Linked DNA regions of Coturnix japonica. The protein of the gene in region 1 interacts with the protein of each later gene in a biochemical or structural test. Links are inferred from orthologs where the notes say so. Each region holds a gene or a part of one and is shown on either strand. Other genes may lie near its edges. The genes, in order: BMPR2, GDF2, GDF5 and BMP2.

Region 1 (7,685 bases):
CAGGTCTTTGACCATATGGCAGCATGATTTGATGGTCTTGAGCTCTAATCCTGGCTGCTCCATTCACCCCACAGTGTGATCACGGGGAAGCATGTCTGTTTCCATTTCTCTGTCTGTTAAATAAGGGCAGCAATAATCTCTTCCCATAGTGCAGACAGAATCACTGATACTAATGTGGTATTTGAATGTTACATTAGTGGACAGAAGGAGCCTGATGAACTGGGCAAGGCTGTGTCAATTGCATACAGTGCAGGGCAGTAAAGCAGGGACCATTAGCTGAATTGCGAGGACACCAACGATGGCATTTCCAGAGCCACCATCAATCCTTTGTACGTGACTTTCATAAAGAAGGGAGAACGAGCATGTGTACCTCAACAAGGGCAGGCTGAAGGTTGCATGAACAACTCTAATTTTTTCTAAATAATTATCTTTCCAGTTTTTTGCATATGATGTATGATAATATTAGTTCTGCAGCACTGTTGTTACTAGCATAAACTAGCACTGAGCAATTGTGTTGTGTGTCTTCTGTTTCCTTATATCACCAACTTGTGACTATTCTCATCCATGCAGAATACTGTCATAGGACAGTAAATTAGAAGCACAATATAAAGGGAAAGTAATTTAAGAAAAAGTGTTTTTGTTTGTCTGTCTCCCGGCAGGCTGTGAGGTCACTTAAAGAAACAATCGAAGACTGCTGGGATCAAGATGCTGAAGCTCGATTAACTGCCCAGTGTGCTGAGGAGAGAATGGCAGAACTTATGATGATTTGGGAGAGAAATAAATCAGTTAGTCCAACAGTCAATCCAATGTCAACTGCCATGCAAAATGAGCGGTAAGAGAAAAAATGGACTTTAGTTGGCAATGAATGTCCAGTGCTTAGCTCACTACAGGAAGGAAGCTAGAGCACACCATTCACATAGTGTTTAAAAGAGTTATGGGAGCTAGTCTACATATGGATTTTGTGTATGATTCTGATAGTTTTGCATTGCATGAATCCACAAAATAAACATTTTTATGGCATTGGATTCTTACAATTGCCAGAATTCAGACATGTTGTATGTAAACAACTGTTTTTATCACAGTGAGGCCTGTTAAGCTGAGTTTAGACAAACTATCCAAACGAGCTTGAAAAGACTATGAATTGTGTTTAAAGACTCTTTTCTAAGTGATGCATTGAACTTCTGTTTAAAATGTTCTGCTATAAGCTATCAGTTCTGACAGTAAGAGTTCGTGATATCACCAAGACTTGAATTTATAGCTATTCAGTTTAAGAACTACAAAGCCCTTGTTAAAGTCATTGTTATTCTGGCCCAGTGAGAGAAGTGATGGGTACATCCCTTCTCTGATTGCAAATGATGCAGAACTGACATTAGTGCTAACATAATAGACACCATAGTAGAGATCTGGATTTGAGAGAAGGGTAGCATTGGCAGGGTTTGTCATGAAAAAATTCTGTTTAAAGCGTGGAACACCTAAATTGTTAAAATTATACATTTTTCATGGTTTAGAAGATTGTGACTCTTTCCCTAGCATCATTTTCTGTATCCTATGCTCTTGAGTATAGTTTCCCTTGTTCTCTTGTTTCCCATCTTCAGCATCACTTCTCTGCAACTAGACCAGTACCTTAGCAGTGAACTGTACAAATACAAGTATTGGACAAATAGAAGAAAATTGCTGTTATGTGATTTACTTCTGTCAATAAAATTCGTGACAAAACTGCTGTCCTAGTAAAATGATTATCTGCTTCCCAGGATTTTTCAAAGAGGATCTCAGTTTTTTAATTGTATCTGTCCTTAGTTTATGCACAAAAATAAGTAGACATTCAGTTCTCTTAAATTAAAGGCTTTATAATATACAGCAATATTTACATATATGATCTTAATATCACTGATTTTTTTTCTTAAAGGAACCTGTCACATCATAGACGAGTGTCAAAAATAAGGCCGTACCCAGATTATTCTTCTTCCTCCTACATTGAAGATTCAATCCACCACACTGACAGCATAGTGAAGAACATCTCGTCTGAACATTCAATGTCCTCTACACCACTGACTTCAGGGGAAAAGAATAGAAACTCCATTAACTATGAGCGGCAACAAGCACAAGCTCGCATCCCTAGTCCTGAGACAAGCGTCACCAGTTTGTCCACTAATACTACTACCACCAATACAACTGGCCTCACTCCTAGCACTGGCATGACCACAATATCTGAAATACCTTATTCAGATGAAACAAACTTACATACTACAAACATCATGCAGCCGGGTGGGCCCACGCCAGTTTGTCTGCAACTAACAGAGGAGGATTTAGAGACAAATAAACTGGATCCAAAAGAAGTAGACAAGAACCTGAAAGAAAGTTCTGATGAAAATCTGATGGAACATTCACTCAAGCAGTTTAGTGGACCAGATCCACTCAGCAGCACTAGTTCCAGCTTGCTTTATCCACTGATAAAACTTGCAGTAGAGGTGACAGGACAACAGGATTTCACGCAAGCTAGCAATGGTCAAGCATGTTTGATTCCAGATGTCCCATCTGCTCAGGTGTATCCTCTACCCAAGCAACAGAACCTTCCGAAGAGGCCTACTAGCCTTCCTCTAAACACCAAAAACTCAACAAAGGAGCCACGGTTAAAATTTGGTGGCAAGCACAAATCAAACTTGAAGCAAGTTGAAACAGGCGTTGCCAAGATGAACACTATCAATGCTGCGGAGCCTCATGTGGTGACGGTTACCATGAATGGAGTGGCTGGTAGAACCCACGGCATAAACTCTCATGCTGGCACAACCCAGTATGCCAATGGGGCAGTGCCATCTGGCCAAACAGCCAGTTCAGTAGCACAGAGGGCCCAGGAAATGCTTCAGAACCAGTTCAGTGGAGAGGATAGTCGATTGAATATTAATTCAAGCCCTGATGAGCATGAACCGTTGTTGAGGCGGGAGCAGCAGGTTGGCCATGATGAAGGTGTTCTGGACCGCCTAGTAGACAGGAGAGAGCGACAACTTGATAATGGCCGAACAAATGTTAATAACAATAACAGTAATCCATGTCCAGTGCAAGACACAGCTACACTCAGTATCCAGAATGTAGCCAGAAATCCTGGGCAGACTCAGACTAGAAGAGCACAGAGGCCTAATTCGCTGGATCTATCTGCCACAAATAGTTTGGATAGTAGTAGTATGCAGTGTAAGTGCCAGCAGAAGTTGAACAAGTTTCCCTGATGCATTTTTTTTTTGCTGAATAATTATGTATATCTACTTGAAAATACTTCTGTGTCCCCTTTCACTCCTCCAAGTGTGCCTATTAATCTCATATAAATTCAGTTTCTATCAGAACTATTTCAGTCTTCTCAATAAAGTCCTGTGTTCTGTCTTCATCAGCTCCAGAGTGCTTTAGGTCACTATCCTCTTTCCAAATACATGGCAAAAATCCATCCCTTTCTATTCTCTCTACTTTGAGAGGAGCCATTTCTACTTTTATTTGTTGCGAGGCAGTGGCAAAGGTTATTGAAATGTCTCCTGTTTCTTCCTTCAGGGACATACTGTGCCTTCTTTTCCTTGTTTTTCATCATTCATAAGAGTAGCTGGCTCTAAGATGCATGGATTAAAATTATTATTACACACTTATTACTTCGTAACTTTTAAAGCGACTGATATTATTGTATTAGTTCAGCCTATGTGGGCAGTCAGGCATTCTCTAGCTTACTATCTGAGCGTTAACAGTTAAAGCAATCCTTTGTCAGTTTACCATGTACATATTAAAAAAAATAAGCAAAGTAGTTAGAGAATGGATTTTAGTAGATGCCCTCAGAAAAACTGCCTTAGATTTTTAAGCCTAAAAACGTAAGAGGTTACAATGAGAATTTCTTTATCATGGTAAGAACTCTGTCTATATTTATAGTTCAGTACATAGAATGAGTTTCTTTGGAGTCTGTGGGCTGTTGGAGAGACTTCCTAGCTAACATGCTCCAGAATACATTGTCAGTGTCAAAAGATACTTGCAAACCTGACTGTGTTTAGGTAGAGGCTGTCATACTAGCAAATTAACCCGTGGTGCCAGGCATTGGATGCTTGGAAAGAAAAAGTTTATAAATGAGCTAGGACAGATCTTTCAAGAAATGTAGTTGAATATTCAGCAATTTAATGTTTAAGCTTTCCTTTTAAGTAGGAAACCTTATATTTTCATCTTTACTTGTTAACTTGAGTTGACATTTTATTGAAGAGAAAAAAAAAAAAGATTAACGCAGTAACTTTCTTTAGTTGAAATGAAGAAGAAATTAAAATATTTGAAGGTTAAGATCAGATTTCTACTGCTGAATTTTTGTTACATTTGAAGCTGACAAGCAAGTGTTTTTTCCAGTTTTGCAATGCAACATCCCAAATCCTGATTTAGGATCCTAAAGAATATTTGTCTCCTGGCAAAGGCCTGAGCTCTTGCCTGAGGTTTTGTATGTAAAGAACTGCTTTGCGAGGCCAAGTTAGGACCAGGGGATCTGTGATTTAATTTTGCTATCAAATGTTTAGCCTTTGCCATCCTGTAGTAGCTACATTTTTTTTTTTTGTACCTTCCATTACAGGTAATGTAAGATACTATGATTGCAAAAGCCCCTCAAATATCAAATGCTGATTCTGCTGTTTGATGCCAATGTGCATTCAAGGTAACACAAATTACTTCACTGAAGTAATTTCTGAAAGAGAACAGAATCTGCCCCTTGTTTTAGTGACAGCCACTATCTGCTGCCACCTCTCTGCCATACAGTTGCTTAATTTAATAGGATTTTCTGCTTTTTGTTCCATTCTGCATGAGTAACAACCCTGGACTGTCCAGTCTGTTCTTTCCTGTAATAGTGTTTTTTTCTACTTTTTGTTGTTGTTGTTCAGTAGGTGACTCCTCACAGGATGGCAAATCGGGCTCAGGAGAAAAGATCAAGAAACGTGTGAAAACTCCTTACTCACTGAAGCGATGGCGTCCTTCGACATGGGTCATCTCCACTGAGCCGCTGCACTGCGAGGTCAACAATAACAGCGGTGACCGGGCAGTGCACTCCAAATCCAGCACTGCCGTTTACCTTGCAGAAGGAGGCACTGCCACCACAATGGTATCTAAGGACGCAGGAGTGAACTGCCTGTGAAATACTTTAAAAGCCGACAAATGACCTTTCTGTTGGTTTTGTTTTGTTTTGTTTTTTCATTATTTGAAACAAACATACAGAAGACATTTTAAAAAACTGCTTTCTCCTCCTGTCAGCAACCCCTATCAAGGACTCGCTTTAAATAGATTTCAGCTATGCAGAAAATTTTTAGCTTATGCTTCCATATTTTTTTATTTTGATTTATTTTTTTGAACGTTTTTGCACTTTTATTTAGTATCGCTGAAGTTAAGTCTGTCTGTTTTGACCACGGAATATATATATGTGTATCAAAAATGTGGTCTCAAAATATTTTTTTAAAAAAAAAACAAAAAAAGGTATTGCTGATAATCAGTTTGGACCAGTTTCTTAAGGTCACTAAGATCACAAGCAGACTATAAGACAGGTTTGACTGCGGTGGTGTCTTGTAACCATGTTTTGATTTCTGTGCACAAGCTAGTCTGTATATTTCTATGTTACAAAGTGTATTCTCTTTTGCCCCTCCATTTTTCTTGTGTCATGTTGAAATGTGCAATAGTCTATAGTTCACAGTATGCTTTATTGAGAAGTGTTTCTAAAAATGCCACGTTCCTGTTTTTGTCTTTGTTATGTTTTCCCTGACAGTTGAGCAGTCAGTCAGTTGTGACAATTAACTTTGCACACCATAGCCAGCTCAAAGCTGCTGCCTGTATCACATCGTGCTCTGAGGTGACAACGTATGAACTTTCCCCAGTTTGAAAGGGCTTTTAAAAAGGAACAAAAATTGAGTTCAGTACCCTTCCTTTGACCCTTCTCAACTGAAGTGAGTTTCCTTAATGGTGGTAGATGCCAGCCCGTCAAGTTCTGAGTAACCAGTTGTTGAACAAATGTAAGGAAACAATGTCAGCCATTTTTGTACTTTATTTTGTGTGCAGTTCTACCCTTTGTATTTATGTAAAACCTTGCTTAGATCACTAATAGTGTACATTGAAAAATGCAACTCAAACAGAAATCTAAGTAACAGTCATACTTAAGAGCTCTAGTGAAGGTAGGTTGCGAACATATTTTGTTAACAAAGAGGAAAAGATATTAATCTTATTTGGCACAAATCTGTCCTGACAGTCTGAGTAGAATCAGCCTGATGACCTGCGCAGGGTGGGTGCATCCTGACTGGTTGCTGTTGCTGAGCTGAAACTCTCCTTCCCCTCAGGTTTTCAAAGCTCTTCATTCATCTCGGTAAAATCAACTGCATGCTTTTAAAATTCATGGGTATGAGTGTTTGGGGGGGAAGGCTGGCTTTTTTCTGGTTAAATACTTCTTTCAGTTTGTATGTAACACTCCACACATTGATTTTAGTTTCAGTGAATGTGAATCTAATATGTGTTGAGATTATTTTTCTCATCATCTTATATACATCTTACTTTATCGTAGAGTAATCATTTTTACTGTCTACTGGAAGAAAACTAATTTCCTTACTGGTCAGGCCTTCCTTTCACTTGAGAATTATCCATCCACCTGAGACTCTGATGGAAAACACTTCAGTAAAAACTGTTTAAATTAAATATATATATTTGTGTGTGTGTAACACATGTCAGTCTTTGGTAATGAGGTCAATTTTACCTTGGGAAACTGGTAATGTTCAAAAAATAAAATACAATAAATACTATGCAGCCATCCTGCCAAACTCCTATGGTAGGCTACTGGCAGCAGACACTTGCCTCTCCCAACCTGTCTTCTTCTGGCAGTCAGAACCAGATGCTCTCTGCTTTCAAGCTTGTTTGTTTCCTTGCTATTGTGGGTTTTTTTCCCCATGAGGTAAAGTTGCCAACTCTGTTTTATACATCTGACATAACTAGTATAATATATACTTTGACACATCTGATTCTTGCTATTTCTCAAACCCTTGCTTGTGCTTTATGAATTTATTCTTTAATGTTTACTAAATGTTTCTTACATTTTTGTAGGTATCTCCAAGAGATGACTCTAAATCCAAATTTTTCATTCAGTGTAGTTGTAGAAGTACAGGTTATGAGGTATAGTTTGGGCTCCCTGTGCTGTTTAAGCACCAGCTTAAATAATAACTCTGAGGTGCAGTTCTATTATCCTGATGTATAAATACATAGTTATACTTTCCCTCATCAGAAAATACGGCCTTTCACTGGTTTTACTTTTAATGCACTCCCCAGCTTCCCATCTGCTACGATCTTGCATCCCAGATGTTGAAAACTTGCCAGTTGCTCAGCTGGGTTTCAAGACCTCAATCAGAATTTTTGGCATTCTGTTCATAGTGTTGGCCACGTTTTTCATCTCTTTTGGACTTCTTCAAGTCTGCATTTGATGTACAGTATGTTGTCTTGTGATGATTGGTCTGTCGTGCTTAATGAAGCCTCTTCACTCATTTTCCAATGACTTTCTGGTTTGCCTTACATGTATAATCCATCAGCATTTCAGAATGTGGGCTGAAAAGCTATTTAGGACACTTATCTAACTTGACAGACTCTGGGGAAAGAAAAGTTATTTACTCCGACTAGTTCTTTCTGCTAAAACAGATTTGCTGTGATATTCCAGCCTTTCTTTT
Region 2 (7,183 bases), on another chromosome or scaffold:
ATGCAAATAATGAGGAGAGGTCTGTTATAAGGTCTACGGGATGTAAGGGAAAAATGCTACTCCTATCTCTTCAGGATACAAAGAGAAACCTGAAAGATCTAGTCTGTATATAAAGACTGGCATAACTATGTAATTTAGCATGGGCAAAACAAAATTATACCTGTAAGTGACATAGCTATCAAGGCACTCCCTTAGCACACAAAAGAGAATATTCTGTTACTGTTGAAGTTTATTTCATTTAGTAACTTGGAGAAGAAACTCATTTTGTCACAAGACATTTTGTGGTTTAGCTATATCTGTCAATTCTCTAATGCAAACCAGGCTTTCACCACAATTTGCTTAGAAGTGGCTACTTTTTGGGCCTTTGAATGTCTATTCTTCCTTTGGAAAAGGAAATTTTGCATTTAATACATTTAACTTATTTTTAAAATAGCACAAATGCCGCCAGATGATATCCATGCCATCTTGAATCTTCCCTCCTAACAGTCCTTTGATTCCTATGGCCATGCTGTATACTCTTCCACTCAGTATTTACATTTCTAAAAAAAGTTACTATTGACAAACACTTAAACAGCAAGATAATCTCACTAATCCTCCCAAAAATATGAGTATATCAACAGCAGGTGATTACAGACATAAAATCAGGAAATCAGCTGATAGTAGTCAGCAAAGCTTAAAGGACACTTTTTACTACAATATTCCATTTAATTCTTTGAGATCACAACTTATTTGCCAGAGGTAAAAGCATAATTAGACTGTTTTGTATACTGTGGACTGTTTTAATTCATTTTCACAAGGTAGTATAGTTAATGGAAACTACTGAACGTGGTTATTGTACTTATGCATCACATGAAATAACAACTGTCTCATGGCCAAACCTCAAAGAGCAAGCTTACAAATGGGAGTGCCACTAAATGAAACTGTTAATTATTAAGTTTCTGCAAAGATGACACTTGGCCTGACAATACATAACATTGTTATATGTGAACTGGAAATCTTTTATATATAACAACCTCCACAGTATTTGCACAAGAGCATTCAGGAGACTGTTATTTATATAGACCACTTGATCTAGCCATGCAATCAAGACTTACTTTAAGGTAGGCAGATACAGAGTATCCTACCTAGGCACAAGGAACAGAAGCTGGTCCTACTGAGCAGAAGACTGCATCCTTGAACAAATGTACCTTTTAAAATATATTTGGTGGGTGCCATGGACCTGCAGTATAATATATGCATCAAAGGTAATGTTATGTAAAAAGTGCTAATGAAAGCTACAGAAAGATGCACTGTGGAGCAGAGAACCCCAGCAGGAAAGGAGATTGTTTTTCTGCATATGGCACTGGAAGACTGCCACCAGAAAACCACACATAGCTCCTATGTTCACCTTTTCAAAGAACAAAACAAAACAAAAAAAAAAAATAAAAAATCCTGAAATTCTGGAAATGACACAAAAAGAGAAACAGAACCTGTCAAAGAAAATATCCTCCAGAATGTGACTAAAAAAAACCAACACTTTTTTTTTTTTTTTTTAATCAGAAAGCAAACTGAGAAGTAACTTGATTACAATAAGTACTTTGATGGAGAGAAACTACCAATGCTATGAGGCTTCTGAATCCAACAGGAAAGTGAGTAGAACTGATGTCTAAAAGGTGTTAGCCAGGAACAGTGAAACAATAAATGAAGCACCAAGAGTTTTAAGTGTGAGTGATGCTCTTTTAGAACAAGTGCTAAAAAAAAATAAAATAAAAAAAAAAGTTTTTCATTTTTCTGAGACCCTTAAAATGTTATACAACAAATACAAACAATTGAACACTGCACACAAGTAGAAAATACAAATGCCTTAAGTAATACATAACAACCTTTACAAACTCAGGAGAATAGAATCAACTCTAAATAATCTTCTCTGACTTTGCAATGTAGGAACACAGTTAACCAGAACCTTTCCTCCCAGTTGTCACTTGAACAAACACATGACAACCTAGACTGAGCTCACTTTAAACACCACATGCACTGCTGGCAAACTAAAGAATGGCCAGAAAGAATAAAATATTGTCAAATATACTTTTTATTTTTAAAGTAAGAGCTGATAATACTGTTCAGAATTTGTGGCATATGTAAGAATGGATTGAGCTGTGTTTAAAAAAAGATGATATGTTAACAGTACAGACAAAATATACACACCATTAAATTAAATCATAGCAGGTTAATTAAGACAAATAACAGGTGATATTTTCGCCTATAAATACACACTTTATTTTCTTCTGTATCATAAGAAATTCTACCAGACTTGTACTTTTGTCCCATTCTTCTTACAGATAACTGTATCAGACCCTTACTTTTCATGCAGCATCAGAAGTGTTGGTTCTGTTTCCACTCCAAGGTCACTGGTTGCTCTTGGATTGTATTGACCAACAAGAATCTAAGAAATATATTATGTAAGATGCTATAAAAACAAGAATTAAGTCCCATCTACCAAAAGAATCAGACTGAAAAAGGACAAGCCTGCAAACAGCATGAAGCGCACTTGACACAAAACAGATATTACAGTGTGTACAAATAATAGCTCTTGGCTGATAAACGGAAAGAAGTTTTAAGGTTGTTTGTACTGTCATGAGATCATGTCTTGCAGAATCACAGCTCTCCATCAAATTACTGTAAATTTTCTGATGGCATACTAATGGAACGTGGAAGGTATTTATGAGATGTTATTTACTAATAGCCAATAGAATAATTTCATTCTAGATTTCTGTTTTCTAGTCATGATGAAAACTGTGTAATCTTCCACGTCCCTAAGAAAGCTTCTGCCTGAGTTGGCAAGGAAGTGCTAAAAGAGAGTAATTAGGCAACGATGACCCTAAAGTGAAATGTGGATTCTTTACAATATACAGTGTCCTTCCCACCAGCCATGTGTGTTTGTCAAATGTTTATAGAATCTTCATTAACTAAGAGCTTTGCTTGATAACGGAAGCTGAAGCATGGCATCAATGACTCAGATAAGGGCAAGTGTACAACCAATCTGCTTGACAACTGACAAGAGGCTGGGGTTTGAAGTAGACAGTGAAAAGAACACAAGAAAGTGATTTGCAAAGGGCATTCCAGCTGTTTGCCTTCCATCTCCTTTCCTCTGTCTGTAAAGATACAATATTTTTGATCAGTTAAAATACTTTGTCCTCTCGTCTCTCCGCCAGAAAGTAAATACATAAGAAATGCATTATTTTGGAGTATTGGCTGTACTGTCTGTTTTCAATATCATTGCGTGTCTGACAAGAGGCAAGCCTTTGGAAAACTGGGACAAGTTACCAGTTATGGGAGAGTCTGATGCATTCTTTCATGATCCTGGAGAAGTGGAAGATGAGACCCATTTTGACTTTAAATCTTTCCTGGAGAATATGAAGACAGATTTACTAAGAAGCTTGAATTTATCAAGGGTCCCCTCACAAGTGAAGACCAAAGAAGAACCACCACAGTTCATGATTGATTTATACAACAGATATACAGCGGACAAGTCCTCAATCCCTGCATCCAACATTGTGAGGAGCTTCAGCACTGAAGGTAGGAGAAGTCCTAAGTGTGTGGACATGAACTTTTAAAGAAATATATGAACAGCAGTCAGATGCTTTTGAAATTCTGAGGAAACTGGTTGCCTAACTTCCGCAGTCTACTTAGAAAGTAAATAGATTAAAATTTTGGACATTGGCCTTGCTCCTTTCAATCTTTAAAAAAATATAACTAAATAATTTCTGATATTTTTGTTGTACAATTTTATCTATTTGAGACAATATGTTGAGCACAGGGTTTACAGGTAGAGATTTGTGACTGCTTTTTGTTTTGTTTTTAATGTTAGAAAACAAATATGTGATCACCTATAGCACAGGCGTTCATGACAGAGGACGCTTCTTTCTAGGAAGCTTCTGTCATTCTTAAGCACAATAGCCAACTGAGAAATTTGTGCCTCGATCCAAGCAAGGATCCAGAAGTGCCCACCCCAAATTCTGGTTTAGATGGGAAGATTTACATGGAAAGTAGTAGCCAGGCTTGTCTTGAGTTGAAAAAAGTCCAGATCTACCTGTGTAACAATAAATAGATTGTTGAAAGCTCCATCTCAAGACACTAAAAAAAAAGAAAAATGCTATAAGTACAGTCTTTGGAATAGAAATGAGACAGGAAGAATCTGTTCTTACAAAAAAATTGATTGTATACAGGTAACAACACTATGAGGATCTCCAGATTCCCAAATAAGTGACTTTAATCCTGAAATGGAAAGAAACTTCAGCAGTATGAACTAGATTTTTGTTCCCACACCCCACTCTCCACTCAGACTGCTTTAGAGGGAAGATGGGTCAACAATAGCAAATTAGAATTGCCCTAAAACACAATGATAATTGAGTAATTATCTTAAACTGATGACCAAAAAGATATCATTCAGTGATGACTTTAAAACACTAACAACCTGATCTCTCACAAAAATATCTGCCCTTTCCAAGGCAGAGTTGCTGGCTCTACACGTTTGCAGAAAAAACACCAAAGCACCATGAATGCTCACAAAAGCCTGGAATATACCTAAACACAAAGAACTGTTTATCACCTAGTCCTAATTTAAACAGACTCTTGAGCTTTGATTCAGGTTTTTCACATGTTTTCTGTGTTCTCTAACTCTCAATAACACAAACTGCTTTCAAAGCTATTTGAAGACAACAAAAACCCCAGCAGAATTAATTCTCAAAGAGACAAATATATACCATGCTTCTCTGTAATAGGAGAGCAGTTTATCCTACTGCACTACTATGAGCGGTGAATTCTAAAAGTTTTTTATAGGAATCCTTTCTTTATAGGAATCCTTTCTGTAAAATCTCTTCAGGAAATTGCTAAACTTAACACTTAACATCCAGTGATGAGTACCTGCTACAGCACCACCTGCACCTTGTTCTAGGAAGACTCTTCCTGCTACCCCTCCACTGCTTCAGACATTCACCTGCATGCAGCCTTGGTGAAAATGCTACCAACATCAAGGAACTACATTTTATCTTTTCACTCCCTGCTCCTTGAAACCTGGCCAGGAGATGGTATCTGTTTCTTTTTGATTGTTTGTTTAATGCTAGGTAGCCGTGGTCATATTTTATTCACAAAACACATCCCGCACCTTTTAAAAGCAAGTTATTTGGACTGTCAGGAGCACTGTAACAATAAGTTTTTATTTCCTATTGTAGATGTTGTTTCTTTAACTTCACCAGAAGAAAACCCATTTCAGAAACACATCTTGTTCTTCAACGTCTCTATTCCACGGTATGAAGAAATCACCAGAGCTGAACTGAGAATCTTTATCTCCTGTCACGAGGAAGCTGTGTCTCCCTCCATACCGGAAGGCAACATGGTCATTTATGATGTTCTAGACGGGGACCATTGGGAAAACAAGGAAGGTACCAAATCTTTTCTTGTCTCCCACAGTATTCAGGAGTGTGGCTGGAAGATGTTTGAAGTGTCCAGCGCTGTGAAAAGATGGGTTAAGGCAGACAAGATGAAGACTAAAAACAAGCTAGAGGTTGTAATAGAGAGTAAGGCTCTGGGTGGTTTCCCTTGTGGGAAGCTGGATATTAGTGTTACTCATGACACTAAGAATCTGCCCCTCTTAATAGTGTTCTCCAATGATCGCAGCAATGGTACAAAAGAGACCAAAGCAGAGCTCCGGGAGATGATTGTTCATGAACAAGAAAATGTGCTAAACAAATTAGGAAAGAATAACTCTTCATCTGAAGAAGAACAGAAAGAGGAAAAAGCCATTGCTAGGCCCCATCAGCATTCCTCCAGAAGCAAGAGAAGCATTGGAGCAAACCACTGTCGGAGAACTTCACTCCATGTGAACTTTAAAGAGATTGGTTGGGATTCTTGGATCATTGCACCCAAAGATTATGAGGCTTTTGAGTGTAAAGGAGGTTGCTTCTTCCCTCTGACAGATAATGTTACGCCAACGAAACATGCTATTGTCCAGACTCTAGTGCATCTCCAAAACCCTAAGAAAGCTTCTAAGGCCTGTTGTGTTCCAACTAAATTGGATTCAATCTCTATTCTTTATAAGGATGATGCTGGTGTACCCACTTTGATATATAACTATGAAGGGATGAAAGTGGCAGAATGTGGCTGCAGGTAGTATATGCAGAATATCTAAGAAGAATACACTTCTGTCTGTGAAACTGTACATTAGTGATGCAAATGAAAATCCTTGCAAACAAGGTTTGGAGCATGGTGTGGGGTTGGTTGTTGTTGCTGCTTTTAAAGGAAAGCTGGCATTTAAAGAATGTCCATCAGTGTAAATGTCCTGCATTATATGATATTAATTAAAATGTTGTGAGATTGAAAGAACTATGCATTATTTGGCTAGAGTGACAGAAACAAAACTTATTTGAATTTTTCTGTTAAACTAGTTCTTTTCAGATCACATGCAGCCTTTGGGACTGAGGATGTCCTCTAGGTTTCTATGCCTCTTAGAAATTTAACTCTCTCAGCCAGTTCTTATTTCCAGCTTCTGTGAAGTAACTGAATTGCAATTAGTTTGCATGATAAAGCAGTGAGTCTAAATCCTGCAAATCTTTACTCACATCAGTAATCTCAGAGACATTTAAAGTCATTTTAATGCAAAGTACTTACTCATATAAGTGAAGTGTTTTTTAATTTCCCAAACAGATGACACTTTCCATCTCATTTGATTCCAAGGCTTCCTTCTGTGGGTAGCAGGTGCCTTGGTTTCAGCTTTCTTATCCTCAGTGTCCCTATTTTTACCCTTTTATGGCACATACTTGAATGATAAGTACAGCCTTCCGCTTCTAAGACACTGTTTCCTAGGAGGAGCAGCAGGCCTTATCTCCTCACAAAGATAAGGAGCCACTTTGACCCACTGCATATTCTTAGTATTTCTTTGCAAGAACATGCAGTCAAATGACATCCAGTCTTAGGATCTGTACCCTGACAGCTGTGGGGGTTGGCAGTGCTCAGCACTTGTGAAAAGAAATAAACAAGCCAATTTTTTGAGGCCTGACAAATTTCTTCGGAGTCTAACTCCAGGCTCTATTTCTTTATCTTTTCTTAGGATAAACACTATTTTGCATATGAAATTCTTTCACCCTTTAGAAGTCTGGGAACAATTGATAACTCCTTTCTATGTTCTGGGACACTTACACTACTTTAT
Region 3 (8,251 bases), on another chromosome or scaffold:
ACCCATCACATCTCTGGACAACCTGTGCCAGCATCTCACCACTCTAAAAAAGTTCTTCCTTACATCCAGTCTGAATCTCCCCCCTTTTAGTTTGAAACCATTTCCCTATATCCCATCACAACAAACCCTGCTGAAGAGTCTGTCCTCTTATCTTACAGAACGGTCTCCCCAGAGCTCCAGCTCTCAGCCTGTCCTTGTAGGGAGGTGTTTGTCCCTCAGTTCATTGTTGTGGCCCCCCTCTGGATGTGAACCAACAGGTCTATGTCTGTCCTGTGCTGAGGGCTCCACCTGTGGACGCAGTGCTCCAGGTGAGGTGTCACAGTGCAGCACAGAGGTGCAGGATTCCCTCCCACACCCCACTGTTTGGACACATCCAGGATACAGTTTCTTGCAACGCAGACAATTAAGATGCAAACAGCAAAACAAAAGGGAGGGGAAAGCTCTTGTATGTTGAGAATGGCTCAGCCGGAGGGACTCAGGGCAGCCAGGTCAGTGCACAGCTGATGGCTGGGACATACAGCAGCGCTTCGGGAGTACTAAAGTAAGTGGAAAATCAGCTGGCAGAGCCTGAACGGTAACGGGCGGGATTCTGCCGGGGCCTGCAGAAGGAAACGTGTCTTTGCCATCTCTGCTATTGCCGCCTGTGCTCCAGCACCTCACACGTCAAACCACGCAGCCGGTAACTCAGCCACACTCCGGTCTCTGAGCGCCCGAGCAGCTCCTCATTTACAGAAAGGCCGCACCGCCTCCTGCGCTCCAACGGCACAACTGCTGCCGCTTCGTCCCCGAACCGAACCTTCCAAAGGGCAGAAAGTTCCGCAGCCCCCATGACCGCCGTTATTTCCCCTCGATTCACTCAGGCCCCGCGCTGCCCGCACAGCTCCCCCCTTCCGGCCGCGCCCAGACGGGACGGGCCTGGTCGGGCGGCTCCCGAGGCCTGTGCTCCGTGCTCCGGGCACCGCGTTGTGCCGCGCCTTGTCCCGCCCTCCCCTCACCTTCTCCTGTAGCTCCCGCACCGACACCGCCGGCTCCTGCCGCGCCTGCCCCGCTCCGTGCCGCCGCCAGGCCTGGCCCCGCGCCGCCTCCCTGGCCGCCATGCCCCGCTCTCGGCCCCGCCCCGCCCGCTGAGCCCCGCGGCGATAGGACGGCGGGTGTGCGGCGGGAAGCGCGCCGTGCCCGACACAGGGGCTGCCACCGGGTACAGCGCTGTGTGTGCTGAGACTGAGTCGTGTACGGTGGAAGCTGAATGTGAGGGAGGTGAATTCAGCTATGGCGGATTAAACATCAGATGGGCAGATCCACAGGAGCGCAGAGGTCTGACAGCGCTCACATCGCAGCACCGTGTTGGTGACAGGCGGGAGCCCCAGGGGCCAAGCTCCAGGAATAGCAGTTTGGCCAGAAGAATCTGGTTGAAATCACACAGGGGACAGGAATAACGGGTGGTGCCTCCTGAGAGCTGAAGGAGACCTGGGGCTTTGCTCAGAGCAGCTCACAGTAGCTCTGTCCCCATTGGCCCACCAGGGAAGTTCCCGCAGAGCTGCTCAGCATCTCCAGCTTCACACTCCTCCTGCTCCCATGTCCTGGTTGTGAGACTGATTCACCCCAGTTTGGTTCATTCTTTTACTTGTGACTGGCAGTATCAGTTGGTGTTCAATAAAAATGGAAAGTTACATTCATCTCAGATGTGTAAATACTGGGTGAGCATTTGACCAATTGTGCTGTTAGTCTGATTTACCATGAGACAAGGCCTATGGAGTCACACTGTCTCACCTTCTGCCCTTTCCTGTCCATCTGCCCAATCGTTTCTGTATCTGTGAATCTCAACCATGTTTGATGGAACAGGAGAGATCTTAAAGATACAGAACTCTTACCGGTGTTGTGAAAACTGGAGTACCCCAAAAGTGACGCCTCCTAGATAGGTTTCCATGCAAACCACAACAGATACAACACATACAGTAACACTGACAGAGCCAAACAGAGTGTTTGGGTGCTGGCTTTTCTACATGGAGGAATGTGATTCCATCCCTTTGCTCCATGTGCGACTCCATGTCAGATGCCATCCTATCAGGCTCTCCCTCTGCTGCCATCTGCCATATAACAGCAGAAAGGAACAGCGTGTGGGTGGGAAGGTTCAGTTTCTACTGCCATTCCTCCAACACCTGCCTCTGTCATCATGGGCCAACAGCATACAGTAGGAGGCATCACTTTCAGAGCATCCCTCATAGAATAAGAGCATGAACTCAGCACTTGGCTGTTTCTGTGGGCAGAACCAACACAGCACACCTGTCTGCCTGCAGGAAGGTGGATAATGAGGGTGGGAGGAAGGGACAGCATGGCTGAGGGTTATGGGGACAGCACGAAGGAACTGTTGGGGAAGGGGCCTGTTGGAAGTAACTCGTGGAAAAGCTGCTTTGTTTTGATGGGAAACATCAAACTGACTGCAGAGAAATGGCAATTAGGCCAAAATTGAGAGGGTGGGGTTTTTGTTCTCCCTCATTTGTGACATCTGTGCGGTCACTAAGCTGTTCTGCCCTTTGGTTCCTCCACTGGAATATGGTAAAGCATTCTAAGCGTGTCATATGGAAAGGGCTGCAGGTTGTTATTTATGAAAGTAATTTCATGTCAGAGTGGAAAATGCCGCAGCACGTCCAATTCAAGCTAAAATCGAGGCTGTTGTATCTATCCCCTTTATTCTTGCTTCAGGAATAAGTGACTGGGAGGGGAGGGCTGGGCTCAGCACAGCGCTGGATGAGAGAAGGGTCCCATTAATCCCCGTTCACTCCAGCCCAGTGCCTCATTTCCCCAAGGTTCATTCAGAACAACAACAGCTCATTTTTTTGTACTGCATGAAAGACACTCTCGCTCCGTGCTCCCCGGAGTACAGCTGACAGCAGCAGATACCCTTCCCACGTCAGCAGCTCCGGTTCCCTCCTCCCATCCTTCCCCTGTCTGTGGGCAGGGAGCTCTCCTACATTCGGGTTCACAAAAGCTCCGTCCCGGCTGCGCCCCGGCTCAGAGCAGCCCGAGCCGTGCTGCTGGCAGGAGCGGGGCCGCCTGCAGGGAGCAGTGCCTGCACAGCCTTCTCCTGCAGCTGGGTTACGCGGGTTTGTTCAAAGCGTAGCAATAAAAACACCAACATGCGATGACTGCGGGCACGGCGGTGCTGCGTTATACCAAATTCATCGCCTGCCTCGTTAGCTGAGTCGCTGGAGGGCAAAGCGAAGCCGCAGCTCCAGCAATAAGGAGCAGGACGGGGTTACGCACCGAGGCTTTCATGTGCGCGTTCCCGTGGGCCGCAGGACGGGTCCCGGCTGTCCGTCTCGCAGTTTGTCCCATTTAAACGTGAAGTTGATGGAAGGCGAAAGGAGAGGTTGTGCCGCCGCTCCAAAACGCGTCCTCTGGAGCCCTGAGCCCGCGGAGCTGTTTCACATGAGGCAGGGAATGAGTCATGCTCATGAAAAGGGCAAAGAAGATTTTTTTTTAAAGAAATATATCGCAGTTAAATTAGTTTAGACAGCATGACATCAGAGAGTAATTAAATCGGTTTGTTGGAATTCCGTTTCCAATTCCTGAGCTCAGGTTTGTAAAAGATTTCTGAGCACCTGCAGGTCTCTGTGTGTGAAATATTTTCACTGGAAAGGATTCAAAACGTTAAAAAAAAAAAAAACAGCCCTTTTAACACAGAGGCAGCATTACGCCATTCTTCCTTCTCGGAAAAAAAACCCCTCCGATTTAAACAGGACTCCTTCAACTTTTCAGTCAGTTTTACAGAAGAAAACGAGGTGGTAAACTTTCTCTTTTCAAGAACGAGCCCTTTACAGCCACGAACTGAAGTCAGGGGAGAGCGCGTCTGAGAGCAGGAGCATTTCCACTATGGGACTGGATACGAGCACTGAACAACCAGATTTGCAATGTTTTAATCTCGATCGAAAACCACTTTTGCTGACTTTGGTTTTTAATTTCTTTCATGTTTTCTTCTGCCAAACTGGAGGAACCTTCCCTGATTTTTTCTTTAGCGGCATTCAGAGGAAGACCAGAGGATGAAAATCCTGCATTTTCTCACTTTACTGCTTTGGCATTTGACTTGGCTGTCTCTGGATCTAGTTCCTGGAGCACTGAGCAATTCTGAAGCAGGCCAGAGTAATCCGGGGTCTAAAACAGATTTGTTAAAAGCAGAAGGAAAGGAGAGGACTCCCTCAGCACGGGCAGGCACGCCACGGGCTGCGAACCATGGATTTAGCACCGGGACCTCGAAGGCAAGGACTAAAAGCAATGCTGCTCAGCCTGGAGCTCTGCTGGCCAAGAACGACGAATCACAGAGGGTTCTTTCAAGAGCAGCTGCCTCAGAGGCAAAGGTAGGACATCTCCCGAGCAGACCTTCTGGAGTAAGGACGGTGACTCCAAAGGTCCCAAATCTTAGCAGCAAGACGGCTTTGAAAAAACCCAGCACGAGCAGTGCTGATAGCAGCGCTTTCAAAACGAAAAAGACTAAAGAGCCTGTCACCCAAAGGGAAGCTAAGGAAGCTTTCAGACAGCCCCCTATAACGCCACATGAATACATGCTCTCTTTGTACAGGACTCTCTCAGACGCAGAAAGAAAAGGTGTTAATGGAAGTGTAAAACTGGAGGCTGGACTTGCCAATACAATAACCAGCTTTATAGACAAAGGACAAGGTAAGAGGGGAGCTCACGTGTGTGTGGACAGAGGGACATCTGAGCACGAGCATTACTAGAACATAACTGTATGTTGTTAAAGGCAGAAAGCTCTTTCTAATGAGAATGAAATTGTAGGTTTTGTCCTTATCTTGGCAGATTCCTCTAGAGGCAGAAATAGATGGTAGCATGGCAGCCAAGCAAAACATTAGAATATTTCAGGTGCATATTTCTGAAAATCCATTAGTCCTTGAGGGTTTAGTTGTTCAGAAACTTTCACGTTTTGATCTTATGCTATTTCAGTAGGAAGATCCTGGATACTGTTGCTTGATTTTATTGCTAAGTGTGTCTGAAAACACATTCTCTGCTGAGAAAGGGGCTGTTCTGCGGAAAAACACACGTTTCAGTGTTGGAGGTCACCCCAGTTTGTCCAAGGATGAGCTGGGAGGAACTACAATGTAGACCCAGGAGTCATTATAGAGTGGCGCTGGTGTACCTGTATGAGCTTGAATCTCATGCTTTCAGACACTACCAGCCTTCTAACCACAGAAGCTCACAGCTAAACATGGGCTAATGAGTGTAAATAACTTCTGGGACTCCCTAATTTGCGGTTCAGTGTTATGGTTCCAAATTTATTGGAAATTTGGCCTAGTGTCTGCTCTCACACAACACATAACCAAAGAAAGATGTTCACCTTGCCGTCCCAGTGGGAGGCTTATCTCCATGTTGCTTCTGGTGACGTTAATGAGAGCTTTGGTCATGGAATTAAGGAAGCAACACAGGCCACAGCTAATTACATAATAGTGATTGAAGACTCAGCCAGGACTGGGTTTGTTTGCTGTTTAATCAAGAATAGTTTGGCTTTCGGGATGGGATGGCACGCAGCTGAGCAGTGCTGTGTTCAGATCCTTGACTGACCACTGGAAGGCGCTGTTATTGAAACATGGATAAAATGTTGGTTTGGGCATATTCCTCATTAGTGCCGCTCGCAGGTTTAACCAGGCAAAGACAGAGTCAGGTTAAAGGGAGGTCTGTTGTTCTGCCCAGTATGGAAAAGTTGTGAACTCTGCGGAGCAGAGTTAATGAGGCAATTATCTTTGTGTTCCTGGGGGATGCTGGTTTTAAAGGACTAATGACTATTGTATTGTCTAAGGGTAATGTTGGAGCCAGCATGAGGCCTGGGCACCACTGAATACCCATTTCAGTAACGTAAGTGGTATGTAAGTGGTGAATAGGCCCTGTGAGCCCTCAGACCTTATAAATGACGGTTTTCCAATTGGCTAAGGGCTACTTTGAAGCTAGAAAATGCCCACTGGTGAAAGAACTGACATTTCTAAAGGGCAAGCTCAGGAACTCCTTTCCCAATGAGTCACTGAATTCTTCCAGGTCCCCGCTCAGAGCCCATCCCTCAGACAAAAATTGTCCTTTCTGTTTAGTGGGCTAACTGAGGTAAATGCTGGTCTTACGGGGAAACTGCAGGAACATTGTAGAGAACTGACAAAGCAGCATTGCTCTGTGCTTCATTTAAAAATGCGTGTGCTTTTTTTAGATGAGCGAGCGCCAACCATAAGGAAACAAAAATACATTTTTGACATCAGTGCATTAGAAAAAGACGGCCTGCTGGGAGCAGAGCTTCGGATACTGAGGAAAAAGCCTTCTGATGCTTGGAAGTCTCATTCTTCTGGAAAGACTTCCCAAGTGAAATTGTTTAGTTGCTCTACCAACAGACAAGCAGCGACGCTCCTGGACTCTCGTATTGTCAGCATCACAGATACACCAAAATGGGAAGTGTTTGACATCTGGAAGCTTTTTAGGAACTTTAAAAACTTGGTCAACTTGTGTTTCGAACTGGAGACTTTTGACAGGGGGAGAGCGGTTGATCTCAGGACTGTGGGATTTAACAGAACGGGAAGACAGGTCAACGAAAAGGCTCTCTTCTTGGTGTTTGGGAGGACAAAAAAAAGGGACTTGTTTTTCAATGAAATCAAAGCTAGATCCGGCCAAGATGACAAAACCGTGTATGAGTACTTGTTCAATCAGAGGCGGAAGAGAAGAGCTCCTCTAGCAACACGGCAAGGGAAGAGGCCCAGTAAGAACCTGAAGGCAAGGTGTAGCAGAAAAGCCCTCCATGTGAATTTTAAAGACATGGGCTGGGATGACTGGATAATAGCACCCTTAGAATACGAAGCATATCACTGTGAAGGTCTTTGTGAGTTCCCCCTCCGATCCCACCTGGAGCCCACCAATCATGCAGTTATCCAAACTTTAATGAACTCAATGGACCCCGAATCGACGCCTCCTACTTGCTGTGTTCCAACCAGGCTGAGTCCTATCAGCATTCTTTTCATTGACTCTGCAAACAATGTGGTCTACAAGCAGTATGAGGACATGGTGGTGGAGTCGTGTGGCTGCAGGTAGCAGAACAGTTGCTCATGTGAATATGCTATGAAAGATAATATGACGCACTGAACATAACCTCTCCTGAAACAAGGTTAACTTAATTTCTTACCTCTAGGGTATGTTTACAAGGATGTAGCACCAAATCCAGCCATTCTGTATGTTTTTCCACCATCTCTCCACTTTGGGCATATTTCAATTGCATTTGGACACTGTCACAGAGCCCAGTATAAAGCCACGTGTTGGCAACACAAGACTGGCTCTACCTAAAGTCTGCGACAGGGAAGATTTGACCTCCATGCCTCTAAATCACCTGCTTTTTACCCTAGAGGCAGTGTGTAAAAATGGTATTGGTGAGCTGCGACCTGTCTGATCCTTTGAACAACATTCTTGAGACTGAATCTATGTCTGAGTCCCATGTGCATTGTCCATTATGAGCTGTAAGGAAATAGTCCTGATGTCTAGAAGAGAGGGTTGTGTTCTGGCACGCTCCCATCTTGGTGTAAATAGTTGTACTGTAATATGGTTTCTTTCTGATTAGCTCTCAAAACTATGCATATGAAAAAAAAGGAGTAATTAAATGTAATGTGTTGATATAGTTTTAAGTTGTACATGGAGATGGGTGACGCAGGAGGCGTTCCTTTCCATGTATGCTTTCCTCCAAGCTACGTATCTTTCCTAAGTATCCACCTTTCCATTATTGTGTAGCAAGATATATTACTCTGTATAAGGTCCAAGTTGTTCTCAAATGCTCCTAGTAAAAGTGCTCAGTTATGGCATAAGATGTAATAAATTATTGACACAATGCTACATTGTGTCTCGCTGTCTAACCCTGCATAATTGTAATGCTATTAAGAATTCGTTTTAGCATTTTTGTACAATAAATATGAATGAAAGGGACTTTTCAATGCGACAGAATTCTGGAGGCATGCATAGCATGTTCATGTGTTTCACTTGCCTCTAACTGCTGACTGGAACTGTTGGAAGAAAGATCTGAAAGCACGCTGTGTTTTAATCGGGTGTGGAATGGCATTATCACTTGACGTACCTGGGGCTAGAAAGAATTATGCAGCTGATTGCAAAAGAACTGTTATCTTTTTATTCCAGGCTCCAACAGCTGTGTGTTCGCTTATCTCCTGTATCTATTCCAGGCATGGAACGTAAATTTTTTTCTGGGATTTCTTTTTTGTGATTCCACCTA
Region 4 (8,303 bases), on another chromosome or scaffold:
AGAAACAGCAGAGTTCTGTCATTTGTTACCCAAAGGAGATCCAAACATCTTGGGAAAGGAAAGAAAAAGCTTTCAAACACAAAACCCCATGAAGGAAGAGAAGCTAATCTGTAAAACTGCAAAACCACCATCCAGGGTTAGATGGGGGGCTGCTCACGGTAACAACTTGCTGTAGGAAGCGTGAAACATTGACAGTTTCACTGTTACACTGCACAGAAGTGAGCTCCCAACTGAGGTTAGGGGCCAGTATGGATAAGATATTATTCCTCTTCACCATGCATAATCACAAAAAAAAAAAAAAAAAAAAAAAAAAGGATGACATTTGAGTTTTTATTATTTTATATTTGGCCAGGACTTTTAAAGGAAGGACTTTTAAAAGAAACATCAAACATTCGCTTTTCTGTAGGTCTAGAAAGGATTTTTTGGTCTTTTTCCCCCACCCCCACCTCCCCAGGGATTCCTATTGGCCCTCCTTATATTCACTCGGTCAGGAATAGTATTGCTACTAGATCAGCAACGTCTGCTTCTTATCCAAACGTTCCACCTAAGGAGGATGCCAGTTCTCATGGATTGGACAGCCCACCCTGCGGCATTCCTGAGCATTGTACAATATAATAATCTTGAAAGTCAGCAGAGTGGATTATCCACTTTCTTTCTGGACTTGAACTTGTGACCTTAACAGTAGCACTGCAGAAAGCAAATGCGCCATGCACTTTGCCATAGTAACCTTCCGCGTCTTCTCTTCAACTTAAATACACGCGATTGAAACAGCTACAATTTGGGAAAATTATGTACAAAACCCTATATTTTCTTTTTTTTTTCTTTTTTTTTTTTGTCATTTTCTCTTTTTTTGATTACACATAAATACAAATTAGCTATTCTTCTAAAAAGTGGTTATAATAGGAAATAAATACAAAATAAGAATCTGACCATTATACTTCATGTGCTGGGGGGGTTAAACCCATATAAAATGTACAACTAAAATACATTTAAAAATCTTTAAAGGAATATTTCTCTGATTAAAATATTTGTTTTCCCAACCTTTCCGTAGACATAAATATATTTTTCAAAATAATTGTGTTTTTTTTTCTTTTTCTTTCCATTTTCATTACATAAATAAAGTCTTCATTGGGAAATATTAAAGTGTCAGCTTTTCTCTATTTTTTCTTTTGCATTTGTCCGATATATTCGCCGTGTCAGCGGCACCCACAACCCTCCACAACCATATCTTGATAGTTCTTTAGCACAACTTTCTCATTCTCATCCAGGTAGAGCATTGAGATAGCGCTCAGTTCTGTCGGCACGCAGCAGGCCTTGGGGATTTTGGAATTCACTGAATTGACCAAAGTCTGAACAATGGCGTGGTTCGTTGAGTTGAGGTGGTCGGCCAGAGGGAAGGGACAGTCCCCGTGGCAGTAAAACGCCTGGTAGCCCGGGGGAGCCACGATCCAATCGTTCCAACCCACGTCGCTGAAATCCACATACAACGGATGCCTTTTGCAACTGTATTTGTGGCGTTTGCGCTGTTTGTGTTTCACTTGACGCTTTTCTCTTTTGTGAAGCGGGTGTCCCTTGCCATCGTGCCCAAACGTCACTAACAACGGCCTGAGCTGAGACCAGCTATCTTCATCCTGGTGTAAAGACCTGCTAATCCTAACGTGCCTCTTGGAGGCACTGTTCTCTTTGTCCAAGTGAACCACCTCCACTACAAACCCATGATTAGGTTGCCCGTGTGCAATCCACCTCAAAACGGCCGGCGTTACATCAAAACTTTCCCATTTACTTGCATTATGATGCACCAACCTGGTGTCCAAAAGTCTCGTGACGGGGTCCTTAGAGGTGGCTGTGGCTGGTTTTATAATTTCATAAATATTAATACGGTGATGGTAGCTGCTGTTGCTCTCAAAGGCTTCGTGCACCTGCTCCCGAAAGATCTGGAGTTCAGCTGAGGTGATAGACTCCTCATTAGGGATGGAAGTTAAATTAAAGAAGAAACGTCGTGCTGTTTTCCCACTTGTTTCTGGCAGTTCTTCCAAAACTTCTAATTTGATTAAACGAGAAGGGAAGGGGAGGGGGGCAGGGAGCAGAGGGAGAGAAAGAAAAAACAGTTAGGAACTGAGACAAGCAACCAAACCCCTCAGATACGTGCTGCTGGCATGCGACAAACAAGACCTGAAAGACTTCCAGGCAGAAAGCACAGCCTCCCTCATCCTTCTGTTTATTTACACAAGCATGTATAGCACAAAGTTAAGAACGCTTCATTCATTGTCATGCACTTTGATGGAATACCGGTGCTCTTTGCATTCCAGGTAGTCATTACCAGTGCCGAGAAACATGAAGCATCACGTTGGAATTCAAAGACATCAGTGAGAAAACTCGAGCACTACAGTTAGCAGAGGTCTGATGAGAATCATTGAAACCAACTGAGGATTTAAGGGCAATTGATGCATTTCTGCATTTTTCAAGAATATGGCTGGAGCACCTCTCTCTTAAGTTCCATTCTGAAATACAGTGCTCCACATCTTCAGTAACTTACTCAATCTTAATGTATAGATTTGCATATGTTAACTAGAGGCAGTGACCTCAACATCTGTAAGGCCACTTTACAAGCACACCCCAGTATGAAGTCCAAAGGACTGTGAGAACGGGTCTAGCTGCTAGAATGGGTGGATGCTAAAGGGATAAGGAAATGTTTTTAGCAACCAAACCAGCCCCTGAGCCCCGTGCCATCTTTCCCTTTCAGCCAACAGACACTGGAATGGAACTTCAGGGGGAGTACTATGTATCTAGGGCTGCTACACTGTAAGTTTCTGCTGCAGACACGGAAGAAATAGCGTTTGCCCACAATAATCCCTCTGAAATCCTGGGTTTTCTTTTTGCTACTCAGCATCCCGGGGATCCGTTCACTTTCTGAAGGGAAGCTGGCACTGACGTGAGCAGTTCTCAGCCCCGTGCCATTCCCTGCTGGCTCCAGCCCGACTTCCCGCATCAGGCAGGGCTCAGCTCTGCAGCGCTTCGGGACCAGCCCGGCGTTTGTAAATATGCAGATGTGCGAGCGCTCCCGGCACAGCCTCCTGCTCTCATGAAGTCACGAACCAACAGTGAGAACTCAATGGAAAAACGGAGTCACGTTGATTTTCGTCTCAAGTTTGTGAAAACCGGAGGACAGCCTTCCATGTCAAAGACTTTGTTGCAACACCACCGCTTCCAACGCTGCTCTGTTTGCCTACAAGTTACACTCCGTGCCCCTCGGCTCCTGTCCTGCTCAGCACCTCGCCTGCCACGTACGGGCTTAAAAGGAACGAGCCACGCGCTGCTGCTGTTTACTTCCCCGCTACAGAGAGAGTGACATTTCACCACTGATCTCACTTCCCACTAAACGGCACCGGGGCCACCTCCGTCCAGCAGAACCATTAAATCTAAGCGCGTTTCTTTTCTCAGCTGTTCCACCTGAAGAGCGCGGGGCGACCGCTTTTCCATTCCCTTTAAAGCAGAGCCGCCGTGTGCCAGCGCCAGAGACTATGGCCAGGGCAGGTTCCATCCCGGGATAAAGCTTCCTGCAGAGCGGGGCAGCGGCAAGCACCGACGGCTCTGCGGGACCACGCGGCTGCGATCTCGGCCGTGTGAGCCGCTCGCTGGGTACGGCCCCCGGACGGGCAGCCAGCAGCCGGAGCCCCAGCCCGGAGCGCTACCTCCACCCCGGAGCGCTACCTCCAGCCGGGCGGCACGGCCCCGAGCTTCGCGACTCCTCCGGCTCGACGGCGGCCGGGGGAAGGCCGCTCCGGCCCGCTTCGCCTATCTCCCACGGGGATTTAGATAAGGGATTAGGAACCTTCGCCGCGGCTCGGGGGAAGCTTTCCTTCGCGTTCCGCCTCGCCCAAAGAAAGCTCCGTTCGCGGCCGGCAGAGCGCGGCGAGAGCCTCACACCGGCGGCCCCGGAGCCCGCGGTGGGCTCTGGAAACGCAGCCGCGACCCCCTCCGAAGCTCGGAGCCCGCCCCGCCGCCCCTCCTCCGTCCCACCCTCGCACTCCTCCCGCTCCCCTCCGCCCGTCCCTCGGCCCCTACCTTCGTGGTGGAAGCTGCGCACGGTGTTGGCGCGGCTGGCGGCCCTCTCCAGCGGGTAGCCCAGCTGCTGGCCGGCGTGCAGACGGTAGAGGTCCAGCATGTAGGGGGGGATGACGACGTCCTTGCCGGGGCTGGGCCGCCGCTTCAGCCCAAACATGTGAAGCAGGCGCAGCTCGAACTCTCCCAGGAGGTCCTCGGGGCGCTGCGCGGCCGAGGCGGAGCGGCCCGGTTCGCTGAAGCGCCGCCGTCCCACCTCCGGCATGAGGCCGGCCGCGCCGCCCAGCAGCACCCGGCAGAGCAGCAGCGCCAGGAGGGAGCGGGTGGCGGCAACCATGGTCGACCTGCGCGGAGGAGGAGGCGATGGGAGGCGGTCAGCGCGGGCACCGCGCCGGGGGAGCGCGCCGCGAAGCGGGGGGCAGCCGGGGCCACTCCGCAGGTGGCTGCCGGCCCATGGCGAGCGGACAGCGGGACGGCGCGGCCGGGGGGGCCCCGTCGGGGCTCAGGTGCGCGGCGGCACCAAATCCCCGCGGCGGGGGATCAAAAGGAGCCGGGCGGGCCGGGCAGCGGGGGTGGGGGGCGAGGGGAAGGGGCGCGGGTGGCCGGAGAGCCGCCCTCGGCGGGCGCAGGTGCGTGCGGCCACGGCCTCCCGCAGAGGGAACGGGGGGCGGAGAGGGACGGGGCGGTGGGAGAGGGACCTCCCGGCCGTGCCCGGGGCAGGCTATTCCAGCCGCGGCTTCCCCGGTCACAGGGAGGAGGGCCCCGCTATCCCGGCGTGGAATGAAGAGGGAAAAAAAAAAAAAGAAAAAGATGAAAAAAAAAAAGTAAAAAAAAGGAAAAAAAAAATAAAAGCCGCTCGCGCTCGAGCAGGAGCCGCGGGACGCTCTTCTCCCCCGCCAAACTCGGCGCGGGGTTAAGGCTCGCTACCCGCTCTCCGTCCCGTCCCCCCGGTGTTGCACGGAGTCATCCTGCGGAGACGGCGATCGGCGGCCGCGGGGCCGTACCTGAGTGCGGCGGGGCTGGCGTCTGCGGGAGCGCGTGCTGCTCTCGGGCTGTGGTCCCCGCATCACTTGGAGTTACTCCGAACCGCGCTGCTGCTGCTCCTCTGCGGCTGCCGGGCGGAAAACGGGAGCTGCCCGCGGTGCGGAGCGCCTCGGGAACATGCCTCGGGCGGGCGGGCGGGAGGCAGGAGGAAAGTCCGCGCTTCTCCTTTCGCAAAGCGCCGGTCGCAAAGTCGGTGTTTCCTTTCCGTTCTCCTCTCGGTGCGCGCTGCCCGCCCGCGAGTGGGTGCTACGCGTTACGGAGCGGAACGGCGCCTTCCGCGAGCGTCCTGCGCATCACCCGCAGCGCACGGGCGGCTATTTACCGGGAATCCCGCAGCGACATGGAGATGGGAGCTGGGCTTCGCTTTGCTCCGCGCCTTTAAAAGAAAAAAAAAAAAAANAAAAAAAAAAAAAAAAAAAAAAGGAAAAACCCAACCGAGGAGGAGAACGAAATAAAAAGCTACATTACAAAAAATATCCACCAACAAAACCCCTCCGGAGGGTGTGAGCACCGGTGGGGACAGCGCTGCGAGCGCGCACCCGTCCCGCCCGCGCCGCACCATGCACGGGGGCGGCCGAACGCGGCCGCGGCTTTTTGTTGCGCTCCGATGTCACGACCCCGGAGGCTCGCGGGCCCGCGCCAATCACAGCCGCCCTGTGGGAGCGGGCCGCGGCCCCGCACGGCTTTTAAAGGAGACGCCGCCTCCCTCCGTCTCTCCCTCCCTCGCCGCTTCTCTCCCTCCTCCTCCTTCGCCCGTTCCCTGCCTCGCCCGGACGCACCGCGCCGGGCTCTGGCCAGTCTGTGTGTCCGTCCGTCCGCCCGCACGGGACCGTCCCGCCGCTCCCCGCACAGTGACCGAGCGCCGGGTCGCGCGATGGGACCGGACCCCGAGCCCCCGGCGTCGCTCCCGACTTGCCGAGCGGCTCCCGGCCCGCCCCGTCCCGTCCCGTCCCGCACCGTACCGCCGCCGTGCCCGGCCGCGGGTTGGGAGCCGCTCTCCCCGCTCAGCCGCCGTCGGGGCGCTCCGGGATCACCCGGGACGCTGCCCCGTGCCCCGGCCCCGGCCCGACCCGCGCGGCCGCTCGCGTTCCTGAGCCGTGGCTGCCCCCCAGTGGCGGCGGAGCGGCGCTCCCCGCCCGCTGCCCCGCTCCGCACCTGCCCGCTCCCCTGTGCCGCTCTGCGCCTCGACGCGGCTCCGCGCTCGGGGTCGGGGTTGGCCGCTACCCCGGCTTTCGTTCGCCTGTGTGGGACGCGGCCCCTCCGCAGGGGTCACAAACGCCCCTCAGGGACTTCATCTGCAAAGAAGCTACAGCCAAATGTAAAACACTGCGGATGAGAATCTAAAGCAATAACAACCTTGACACCTCCATTCCCAGCTCCTCCTTTGGGAGTGGCCTTCTCCCTCCATCTTGACTTAGGGCACGACGCAGCATCTGCACTGGGGCAGGTCCCTTCTCCTGCCGCCTTGTGAGCCGCAGCTGTGCCATGGGACAGTGCCCAGCAGGGACTAACCAGCACTGTGCACCCAGCTGCTCCCCACGCCCCCTCAGCTGACCCTCGTGTGAAGGCCCTCAAAAGTTCTGTAACTTTTCTGTTGCATTTCAGTACAAATAAAGTTTAGTTTTATGACTCCCTGCGAGTCCTCTTCACGACCAAGGTGAAAGCAGTGTGATGCTGTGCCCATTATGTAAATCAGCACTAAAATAACAATGGCAGTGTTGTTTACACATCACTGGCGTTAAATGAGAACTTCTAATTGCCATCCCAGTTCAGTCTGTCGTGGGTCATGCCAGGAAGAAGCCAGGTGGCAAAGCAGCACGTATGCAGAAGGGTCACCTCCCCCAGGTGTCCCACAGCAGCACTCCCCCACAGAGCTCCCCTTCACACAGAGCTGGTGCATCAGCTCCTCTCCTGACAGAGAAACCAGCACTGGTGCTGAAGAGATCTGATATGGACATTGGGTTGTAAGAAGCTGGACCGCACAGATGTGTCACCTTTGTGAAGCTTCATTTCCATACTCCTCAACTCTGTATGGTTGACTGGACTGATCCATTTGTATTTTCCTTTTCTGCACATCTACTCTCTTTTTTTTCTTCCTTTTCTTTTTCTCTTGCTTCACAGTGTTGTGGTTTGCTGTGGGCTTTATCTGAGCCAGTGAGCATTCAGCTAAGGGCACCTGCTTCTTGGGTTTCAGATCCAGGTGCTCCTCTGCAGGTGCCCAATTGCAGCTGGTAGATCTCAACTTTATGCACTGTTGGGTTTTCTTAGTGAAATAAAGCACCCACAGACAGATAGGTTTTACAACCCGGTAAGAACTGTTTTTCAAGCACGGGAAGGCAAGAAGAAAGTCTTCTTCCGCACAACTCTGTTCTTCCTACTACATCCAATTGTGTTTCTGTAGTGCCACCAGGTAGTGTCTTTCTTCTGTCCTGGTTTAACTGTGAGCACTGCCAACGTTGCAGCGGGCAGAAGCCTTCAGCTGGAAGACCTCAATGAGAAATGCAGCCGGGACCTCGAGCTGGGACTCACAGTCACTAACAAAACACTCCAGATCCTGGTCTAGTCGTTGGACAGGTCTGCAGCAGCACACATAGAGCTCTGTGCACACTGCTGGTCAACACTTCTACCACTGACTTCAGCAGACCTGCTAGACCAACACCAAGCACTTCTAAAATTCCCCTCTTAGGCCAATTTCCCTCAGACATAGTGAGCTTTTGACATGGTACACTAACAGTACTGAGGGTGATTCATGTATTTGGTGCGCTGCAGTGACTAAACCTCTTCAGAGAAGCCTATGCTGAAGCATGAAAAATCTACATGATGCAGCATCAAACGTGAGGGGGGTGGCTGCTGAAAACGAGTTAAGGTGTGTTAGTGATGTTGAGGCTTTGATAGAGATTAGCTGAAAGCTTTTCTGTTTCTCAGCTGGGCTCCCCATTGGCATCTGTGCGAATATGATGTGTGCTCATTCTTGAAAACACTTCATGCTGTTTTCTGAAGATGTGTTTGTCTTTTGGTAGTTTGTCTTTAACATCCATCGGTTGTCTGTGCTCTGCAGCCCGTCTCCTGTTCCGTGGATGGATTCTCACTCGAGAAGGTAATTTATAAGATGATGATTTGTTTCTGAAGAGGGGAAAGGCATCTTATTCAGAAATGCCTTTTTCTTTCTTATTCACCTTTATTGGAATCTGGCAGCT

Evidence for each region.
Region 2: the proteins of BMPR2 (region 1) and GDF2 form a complex in vitro, tested with the Homo sapiens proteins (2 studies listed by BioGRID). The link is inferred for Coturnix japonica from reciprocal best matches to the Homo sapiens genes BMPR2 and GDF2.
Region 3: the proteins of BMPR2 (region 1) and GDF5 form a complex in vitro, tested with the Homo sapiens proteins (2 studies listed by BioGRID and IntAct, with this or other methods). The link is inferred for Coturnix japonica from reciprocal best matches to the Homo sapiens genes BMPR2 and GDF5.
Region 4: the proteins of BMPR2 (region 1) and BMP2 form a complex in vitro, tested with the Homo sapiens proteins (4 studies listed by BioGRID and IntAct, with this or other methods). The link is inferred for Coturnix japonica from reciprocal best matches to the Homo sapiens genes BMPR2 and BMP2.

The regions. Positions count from the first base shown.
Region 1 is NC_029522.1:10,381,960-10,389,644, forward strand, and holds part of BMPR2 (bone morphogenetic protein receptor type-2), read left to right. Parts: intron 1-659; coding exon 660-832; intron 833-1,906; coding exon 1,907-3,186; intron 3,187-4,576; coding exon of another isoform or gene 4,577-4,626; exon of another isoform or gene 4,627-4,657; intron 4,658-4,880; coding exon 4,881-5,131; 3' UTR 5,132-7,685. UniProt on the Homo sapiens protein: On ligand binding, forms a receptor complex consisting of two type II and two type I transmembrane serine/threonine kinases.
Region 2 is NC_029521.1:15,468,533-15,475,715, reverse strand, and holds part of GDF2 (growth/differentiation factor 2), read left to right. Parts: 5' UTR 1-3,209; coding exon 3,210-3,555; intron 3,556-5,210; coding exon 5,211-6,148; 3' UTR 6,149-7,183. UniProt on the Homo sapiens protein: Potent circulating inhibitor of angiogenesis. Signals through the type I activin receptor ACVRL1 but not other Alks. Signaling through SMAD1 in endothelial cells requires TGF-beta coreceptor endoglin/ENG.
Region 3 is NC_029535.1:1,101,497-1,109,747, forward strand, and holds GDF5 (growth/differentiation factor 5), read left to right. Parts: upstream 1-2,706; 5' UTR 2,707-4,040; coding exon 4,041-4,674; intron 4,675-6,202; coding exon 6,203-7,071; 3' UTR 7,072-7,832; downstream 7,833-8,251. Other genes in the region: centrosome-associated protein CEP250, read right to left, coding at 996-1,097. UniProt on the Homo sapiens protein: Growth factor involved in bone and cartilage formation. During cartilage development regulates differentiation of chondrogenic tissue through two pathways.
Region 4 is NC_029518.1:13,149,580-13,157,882, forward strand, and holds BMP2 (bone morphogenetic protein 2), read right to left. Parts: upstream 5,500-8,303; 5' UTR 5,067-5,499; intron 4,407-5,066; 5' UTR 4,400-4,406; coding exon 4,066-4,399; intron 2,042-4,065; coding exon 1,197-2,041; 3' UTR 317-1,196; downstream 1-316. UniProt on the Homo sapiens protein: Growth factor of the TGF-beta superfamily that plays essential roles in many developmental processes, including cardiogenesis, neurogenesis, and osteogenesis. Induces cartilage and bone formation.